2 linked regions of the Arabidopsis thaliana genome follow. The protein of the gene in region 2 interacts with the protein of the main gene of each other region in a pairwise test. Each region holds a gene or a part of one and is shown on either strand. Other genes may lie near its edges.

What was found. Proteins that work in one complex are often made in the same cells at the same time.
Region 1: the proteins of HSFA2 (region 2) and HSBP interact in a two-hybrid assay, tested with the Arabidopsis thaliana proteins (one study listed by BioGRID).

The regions. Positions count from the first base shown.
Region 1 is NC_003075.7:8,985,814-8,990,289, forward strand, and holds HSBP (heat shock factor binding protein), read right to left. Parts: upstream 2,849-4,476; 5' UTR 2,527-2,848; coding exon 2,524-2,526; intron 1,913-2,523; coding exon 1,859-1,912; intron 1,767-1,858; coding exon 1,743-1,766; intron 1,649-1,742; coding exon 1,606-1,648; intron 1,188-1,605; coding exon 1,051-1,187; 3' UTR 785-1,050; downstream 1-784. Other genes in the region: AT4G15810 (P-loop containing nucleoside triphosphate hydrolases superfamily protein), read right to left, coding at 3,349-4,000, 4,265-4,476. UniProt on the Arabidopsis thaliana protein: Negative regulator of the heat shock (HS) response. Affects negatively HSFA1B DNA-binding capacity in vitro. Involved in acquired thermotolerance but not basal thermotolerance. Crucial for seed development, after fertilization and during embryogenesis.
Region 2 is NC_003071.7:11,133,777-11,138,400, forward strand, and holds HSFA2 (heat shock transcription factor A2), read left to right. Parts: upstream 1-1,847; 5' UTR 1,848-2,079; coding exon 2,080-2,388; intron 2,389-2,469; coding exon of another isoform or gene 2,470-2,500; intron 2,501-2,712; coding exon 2,713-3,441; 3' UTR 3,442-4,016; downstream 4,017-4,624. Other genes in the region: ftsh4 (FTSH protease 4), read right to left, coding at 80-316, 455-727, 809-896, 1,324-1,350. UniProt on the Arabidopsis thaliana protein: Transcriptional activator that specifically binds DNA sequence 5'-AGAAnnTTCT-3' known as heat shock promoter elements (HSE). Seems to be involved in other environmental stress responses.

The sequences.
Region 1 (4,476 bases), on a different chromosome or scaffold from region 2:
CTTCTTCTTATAATCTTATGTATTCGATTCATTTATTTAAAACTAATACAAATTACATTAAAGTCTATCAGCAATATGTCAAAAGAATCTGAGTCATGGAGCCACTTGGAGGAGAAAAATTGTCAAAACTCAAAAGAGAAGAAAACGTTACACAATGTAAAGATGATGAGAAAAGAAAATAGGGGGAAGACACTAAATTTACTCCCCATAATTAGAGGGAGGCTGATTTGGAGAAAAAATAGTCAAAACAAAATAACAAAGCATTGATATTCGAAGATACACTTTATTTGCTCCTCCGGGGTCCTCAAGGGGCTTTGTCACAGAGAAATAAAAACCAAAGTTTTGGAGAAAAGGGGTTTTGGACCGCAAACTCATACCTCATGACAAGCATAAACCAACTCATCACCAGTTGTTTATTGATTTATTCGATAATGATAGTCTTGTGACTACTTTTCTATCTAGTGTGTTTCTTTGAAACCTTGCAATTTTCAACATTTTAAACAACTTTTGTTTTTAGTTGTAAACGCAGGCTAAACATATCCTCTTTGAAAATATATTCACATTGGGCAAAAATAGACTGTTAAAAAATTTCTACCGACCTTTTTCATGTAAACACAAATGCGAAATAATCAAAGCCTAATACAGCTATGAGATTCGATTTTGATAAATCGATCAGTCTAACTATGGCTCCTATACTTTAACCTTTTCTAAATTCAAAATCTGAAAAAATAAAACCGGAATCAAACCCAAAAATGGAACAATGAACTTGGTTTGTCTATTCCCCCTGATAAGTTGCGTTTAAGTATCGACAGTAATATGAATTATAGGAGCATAAGAAGACTTCTTAGTTCTCTCAAGACCAAAATAGAAATGCAATTCATAGGTGGAGAATAATGTAATGCACCACATCATCAATCTATTTGATGAACTTTAATAAACAACAAACTCGTTTCTTAAAACAGGAATTTTAAAAGTAATACTGCCTGCTCTTAACATATTTCATAGTTTTTCTTTTTCCTTCGGACATGTCAATGAACACCACATTCCTTTTTAAGAGGAACTAGCCGGTGTTTTGGGTTCATCGCCTGATTTGGAGGCTGGAGGAGGAGTGCCTTCTACTCCCATCTCGGCTCTTAGATCATTGATGCTTTGCTCCAGCTCATTGATTCTGCCTCCCATGTCATCAAGTGAACCATCAAATCAAAATCAAAGTCAAGGAGATCAAAACCAATGTCATGAACACAAGATTGCTGATCAAAGAGTTACCACAGATTACAAACTTGTATCAGTTCATGGTGATAAAGTTGCTTTTGTTTAGAATATATAGCGAGCAGAAGAACAAGCATGCATATAATAGCAACTTAACAAGAGAAAATACCATAGAACCATGTGCTACTACCCATAGAATAGACATTTAGACTCTCAAGAAATACTTTAATCAGAAAAATAGACAGATTCTAATGATAATTCTCAATACCTAGTACTAAACTTCTTTCCTTGAAGACACAAATAATCAATCATCATTACTGGTTCTAGGAGGGAAACATTTCATATATTCTACTTCAAGCAACACTCAAGTAAAACCACAGATTGATATAAGGATATTCTTTGTGATGATGGAGTCCGACATTGTCTGGAACCTGGTTTGCTGAAACACACAAATGTGACCAAATTTAATCAAAATCTACCTATTGAAGGTATAATTCCAAGGCCTACGAAGACATAAAAGCTGAAAAACCTACCATCTGCTGGAGAAGATTTTGGACCTGCATATAAAAATTCAAGGATTCAGTGATAAACCAAGTGAAATTGTCTCAAAGTCACAAAAATACCAAACAAAGAGAACGAGAATACTCACAAAAGCAGTCATATCAGCAGTGCTCTGCTTAGTATCCTCAGAATCATGACCATCCTGTCAGCAAAAGAAAAAAAAAACTGTAAGAAGAAACTCAAAGACACAGTAAATATAACAATCATCAGGACAAGAAATTGAAGCTTTATACTAACGAAAAAAAATTGTTACAAGGAAAGAAACAAGCATGAACTATTGCCCATTGAGAATATTTCTATCTGAACTTTCTTAGTACTACTAGCATTACACACAGCAAACTCGATACATGAACATTTCTAAGTAAGAAAAAGGACGAAAAAGTTAACTTATACTGAATCTCCCCATCAGATCCTGGACTTCACGATACTAGAGTTCTTGAAAAGCCGAATTCACAAGTTCAAAATCCACAGATGAAAACAGAAAATCGAGCAAATGCAAAATCTTATTGTAACCCAGCAAAAGATGCTCTAAATCGTCCAGATTTCACTATAAACTCAACATTTCGATAATTGATCTACAATAACAGAACAACCATAAGAATATCATGCGAGATTCCCACTAAACCGTAAAAAAACCTAATCCGAAGATATATCCTTAAATGCAATCGACAAATCCGAATAAACGAGCCTAGGTTTCGTGAACGAAAACGCAAAATCGAAAAAGCGCAATGATATTAGGAGGCGGATATTTACCATTTTTAGGGTTTTCTTGCGAGTGATCGGAAAACTGGAGAAATTTTGATTTCAGCGAAAAGCGATGAGAGACGACGGAGGAGAAGAGTGATGCGATGTTTATAAAACGAGAAGAGAAACGCTGTTACTGTTAACCCCAACCTTATAGGTATACAATGTCCAAAATGCCCCCTCTTTACTTTAGTTTCTATCGTTATGATTCGATTGGGTGGGATCATGTGTGTGTGATTCAAATTTCAAATATTTTTATGTACGTTTGGTATTGAGATCTAGATCTTAGGATGATTCAAATCATTATTGTGGATGTTCAAATCTGCAAACATTTATTTGTAATCATCTTATTTGTAAATTTGGCTTAACTTTTTGTTCCTCTTGATGATTAAAGGCAGACCAATTCGAATTGTGTTGTATAACGACTTATCTCACTAATGGCATAAACCCTGACACATTGATGACTGAAGTATGTAGATTTGGAACAGCCTATTTGTTTCTTACCATCAATAGATATATTAACGAGGTTGTTGAACACTATCATGATTTTACAAGAGAAATGAAACACATGATTTATATAATTATATGATTACAACCAAAAGACATACATAAGCATCTTATCTCCATGTGAGAGATTCTAATCCTCCACAACCCAATAGAGGAAGAAGTAACAAACCTGACCACAAGACAATCAGGAGACAAGTGAAATGTTGCTTATCCTCACACCATTGGTATTTGATATAGTTAATTTTCGTGTATTATCAATGGAATACAAAAGACACGACGATCACATCTGATATGTTACAACTTCTACAACAAGAGCAAATTCCAATTTTAAATATCTTTTCCAGAAGTGAATACGGATATCAACATAGGAACCAAACCTAAAACAGACATGGAGCCTCTCATCCTCACCAAGATCTTCCCTTCTTCTTGTACATTTCTTCTACAGTCTCGGCTTCCAATGGAAAACCCTGCGTGCACATCAGATGTATCTAGATAGATACCGAACCTTTTTGTTGCTTGGAATCCAAGTCTTCCTCTTCTGGTTCTTACACGACCAAGTACAGTTCCTTTTTCATGTTGTCTCTCCACGTCTTCTGATTCTTGATTCTCCACGAGAAGTGTTTCTTGCTCGAGACATTCTTGACTCTGTTCGTCCCATATAATTTCAGGGTAAGAATCCAGTAATTTCCTTTTCTTCTCCTCCAAATCATCATGTGAATGAGAAGTGTGCCCTGAGTTAAGTAACACATTCCACAAGGAACAGAATAGAGTGAAAGAGCTAAGCTGGGAGCCAAAGACACCGGCCTTTTCTACATCGGTATTCTGCTTTTGCAAAGAACCGGCTTTAGACCGGATCTTAACTGAGCAACATAAGATCAGCAAGTTCAATCTCCAATCCGAACATGTAGATTCGCTGCTTTTGTTTGCGGAGAAGAAGCTCATGTTGTTCTCTGCCAGAACAATTCCTAGGCATCTTGCTCTGGTCTATACAGCTTAACTCTGGAACTGCTTGTCTGATTGATTGATGCATAAGAGAAGATCTCTGAGAAATAAACTCCTTGTAGCTTAAAGAATCTACAACATCGGAAGCTGCATGAGTTAGAACCACGATAGCATTTTTCCATATTGACGAGCCCAGGGAACTGGTGATGATTTTAAGTAAACGGATGTCTGGAGTGTCATCTAGACGGTCAATATAGAGGTGATATCAACTGGGAACTTTCTCATGCTTTTCTTTATTGACATAAGGACTTCCTGATTAAACTGTTCCTCAGTTGCAGAGGACAAGAGTCCTGGCGTATCAAGTATACTTATCTGGATTCCTCCTACATTCCCAACAACATAATTTGCAGAGTTAGTGGTAACTCCAAATGCACCAACAGCAGATTTAGTCTCCCCAAAAATAGAATTAACCGTTGCACTTTTTCCCACCCCAGTTTTCCCGATAACAAGGAC
Region 2 (4,624 bases):
GTATTAAGCATAAATTAATGAGCACAAAGTCATTCAATACAGCTATTGGATCACTGAAGAAAACACAACCAAACTCTACCTTTGCCAATTCCTCTGTCCTCGATAAGAGCTCCAATACCAGAAATGAGTAAAAAACCAACTCCAATAGTTCGGATTGTACTCCATAGCTGTTCTTTAAAGTGAGTCCTTTCTGTGGATATCGTATGGATCGGTGCACTAGCAGTTCCAAGGACACCATCTTTTGTTGGTTTTCCTACGTTTCTAAATGCCCCAAGACCTCCAAAAGTCTCTTCCTCCCTTGCAACACCAGCAATACCTAAAAGAAAAACAGCAAAACATTTCCCAATATTATATAGAGAAATGGCTCAGAAGCTGCTAATACAAATATGAAAGCAAGGACACAATCCAAGTATCCATTCAGATTCAAACAAACAGTCTCTCCCTCCTTACCCACCTCTTTGCAATGTTCGAACCAGCTCACTTTGATCGAGCCTATCAACTTTAACCAATGCCTTAATGTATTCCGATAACGCAGAGGCATTCGCATGCAAAGAAGGTTGGCTTTCAAACATTCTGATAACAGCCTCAGGATCATTTCTTCGAATAAGTTCTCTCAGATGTGCAACCTCATTAACTTCTTCTCTATCACGGACTCTGCGAGCAAAGCTACCAACATAACTCGATTGAAACCTCGTTCGCGGTAAAGAAGCTCCACCACCACCCACAGCTATAGATAAAATAAAACCAATTTACATCAAAAACACTTCTAAAACAACAAGAACAACTCATAAACGGAATCAGAATTTACCTCCAGTAACTCCCACTCTAGGAAAAGAGGAGTAAGCTCTAACAAGTAAGCTTCTTAAACTGCTCAATTCCCTTTCATGACTCGAAACCTGTCATCGGTGAAGAGAATCAATACAGATGAAGTTAATTACTAATCCCAAACTCAAAATGACACTAGACAACACATGAAAACATTTTGATAAAAGTGAATACTTTTACCCATTTTGAATCAAAAAAATTGAAACTTTTTATACCAATTTCAAAATTAGGTGACTTGGGTAGTCAAATAAATCAAATGACAATATCACAGAGACAATCTAGAATCCTAAAAGACAACATTTTGAGGGCAGAGAAGAATTTGAGCTTCTAGGGTTTGAAAAATATCATCTTTAGCTTATGAATCACAAAGATCTTGATAAAACCCATCAGAAATTATTATCTAATTAGATCAAATCCACTACAGTATCAAACCAAAGTCGAAACCTTTTTCGTATTAAAAATTGGATAAAGGGGAAAAGAGAAAAATGAAACAAAAACCTTGGTGATGATGCGCCTCCAAGCCATCAATCAAATCTCTCCTTCACGATATCTTAAAAATTGGTGTTAATGTCTGATAAATCGAAGTTCCTCGATCTATATCGGAAACAAAAGACTTCTTCGTTGTGTTTGGGGAAGAACCGTTCTAATCTTATTCCCTAAAGTCTTAAAAACACTAAATTACACGTGAGAGACCTGTTTGGTTATCGGGTGAGAGAAAAATTGTGCAGCAGGTGGAGACACGCACGAGATATGTAGGTCGCCTCTTAAGTACATAAATACCCTTGGACATACCCAATAATTCATTTTAGTAGGCTTTTTCTGGCGGCCCACATTAAAAAGAAGGACCTAGAACATAAATTGGCATCGTTAGAAATGGGCTTAAGTAAAGGCCCATATGATATATATATAAAAAAAGAGATTCTAGATTAGTAACGAAGTTTCTGGAACATTGTCTTGTCTTGTCGCCACGTGCTCACATAAATGTCAAAGAAGCTTCAATACAGTGAAATGATCTTGTCTTGTCTCTAGAACCTTCTCTTCTCTCCCCTTATAATTTCATTTCTCTCTCCTCCACGCCTCAATCTCTCAACTCAAAACTCAACATTTTCTGAAGAAAGTCGCAAACTTTACCCAAAACCCAGTTTCTAATTTTAGCAACAAAATCAAAAATATCTACTTTTGTTTCTCGAAAGTTACGAAATTCATACAATCTAGCTTATCTCTGAGCTTATGGATTTGAGATAAACAACGAAAATGGAAGAACTGAAAGTGGAAATGGAGGAAGAAACGGTGACGTTTACTGGTTCTGTAGCGGCTTCTTCATCTGTAGGATCCTCTTCCTCTCCTAGACCAATGGAAGGGCTTAACGAAACAGGGCCACCACCGTTTCTGACTAAGACTTACGAAATGGTGGAAGATCCGGCGACGGACACGGTGGTTTCTTGGAGTAATGGTCGTAACAGCTTTGTGGTGTGGGATTCTCATAAGTTCTCAACAACTCTCCTTCCACGTTACTTCAAGCATAGCAATTTCTCAAGTTTTATTCGTCAGCTCAATACTTATGTAAGTACCTCTTTGCTTCCTTATATCTACTTAGTCTTGTTTCTGTTTTTGTTTCTAATTTTTAATTTTGGATTTCTTTAGATGGGTTTCCTATGAGTCTTCAGCTATAAAGGTTAGTTCTTTAAGCTTTTAAGTGGCTAAATTGAAATTAGATGCATTGAGATTTTGGTCATATGTTAAGAGAATCATTTAACATAAACTCTGTTCAATCCTCTGTTTCTGAAGTTCAAAATGTGTTTGGTAGTAAAAACAGAATCTTGGAATGATAAGTAAGGACTCTGCCTCAAGTTCAGTAGCTGATGAAACTTGTTTTGGTGATTGCAGGGATTCAGAAAGATTGATCCAGATAGATGGGAATTTGCAAATGAAGGGTTTTTAGCAGGACAAAAGCATCTCTTGAAGAACATCAAAAGAAGGAGGAACATGGGTTTGCAGAATGTGAATCAGCAAGGATCTGGGATGTCATGTGTTGAGGTTGGGCAATACGGTTTCGACGGGGAGGTTGAGAGGTTGAAGAGGGATCATGGTGTGCTTGTAGCTGAGGTAGTTAGGTTGAGGCAACAGCAACACAGCTCCAAGAGTCAAGTTGCAGCTATGGAGCAACGGTTGCTTGTTACTGAGAAGAGACAGCAGCAGATGATGACGTTCCTTGCCAAGGCGTTGAACAATCCGAACTTTGTTCAGCAGTTTGCGGTTATGAGTAAAGAGAAGAAGAGTTTGTTTGGTTTGGATGTGGGGAGGAAACGGAGGCTTACTTCTACTCCAAGCTTGGGGACTATGGAGGAGAATTTGTTACATGATCAAGAGTTTGATAGAATGAAGGATGATATGGAAATGTTGTTCGCTGCAGCAATCGATGATGAGGCGAATAATTCGATGCCTACTAAGGAGGAACAATGTTTGGAGGCTATGAATGTGATGATGAGAGATGGTAATTTGGAAGCAGCGTTGGATGTGAAAGTGGAAGATTTGGTTGGTTCGCCTTTGGATTGGGACAGCCAAGATCTACATGACATGGTTGATCAAATGGGTTTTCTTGGTTCGGAACCTTAACTATACGGTATTAACACATCTACTTGTTGCGGTCTAAGTTATGGTAATGCTACCACTTTTATTTACTAGTTGAATTGTTTGTTTGTTTGTTTTGACTCAAGGAAGAGTCATTGAGTGTGGTTTGTTGTACATTTGTGTTTTCTTGTTCTGATGAATAAAAAACTCTGATTTCGTTTGACAATTTTAATGGTTGTTTGTTTTTCCTTCTCCAGACCTTAGAAGCATGAGATGGAGCTGCGATAAGAGTATCAAGCTCCGTGTCTACTTATCTTAGTACTCACTTTGGTCAACATTTAGGAGTTTATGTAATTAGTAACTTTTGCTAAGCTTTCTTAGAGAAAAGAGGTCATGATACTAAGAAAGTATTTCTTTGAATGTAACACTTTTAATTTTGAAGTTCATAAAATTTACAAACTTGTTGATCTAGTTACTTGGGACATAATTGGAACTAAATGGCCTGTGTGATATTTTTGTAGATCAAGTTCCTGCTGCATCCTAGTCCTATGTAACAACTCACGACAACTTCAAAAAAAGAAAAATGTTAAATTAGATTCAAGAAAAAATAACTCATGACATAAAAGTTTTTTTAATCAAGTTTCTTATAGATGATGTTCCAGTTTCAAATTTGGATTAAATTATTCTATATTCAATGTTTGTCGTTTATGGATTTGCAAACATTTACAAGATCATGCACACAACACAACACGTAACTATAAGCAATAAATAAAACAAGATTCAGATTTAAGATAATTAATCGTTTTTAGAGGAACGGAGGAAAGAACATGTGAAAACAACTATGAGAAGAAAACTCAGTACTATCGATGATACTACCATCACCAAGCTTGAACATCTTAACAGCTTCATCATTCATTCCATCATTACAATATTCTCCATCATTATCATCGAAGTAGATATAATTCTTCAAAAGTCCATGGTACTCGGAACTCTCATCATCATGCTTGATAAATTGATCAGCTTCTGCGCCACTCTGATACGTTCATGAGAAGTTGGCACGTGTGAGAACTGAAGTGAGAGATTGGAGTCACGTGTGAAGAAGATTATAAATAGTAAGAGAGAGTAGAGAGAAAAGCATCCTGCGTGATCATTGATGTGTAAAGAGGATTAGAGCTTTATGTGCTCTGTTCTTGGGAGATAAGATTGGAGAACTGTAACTCCAAGCTTA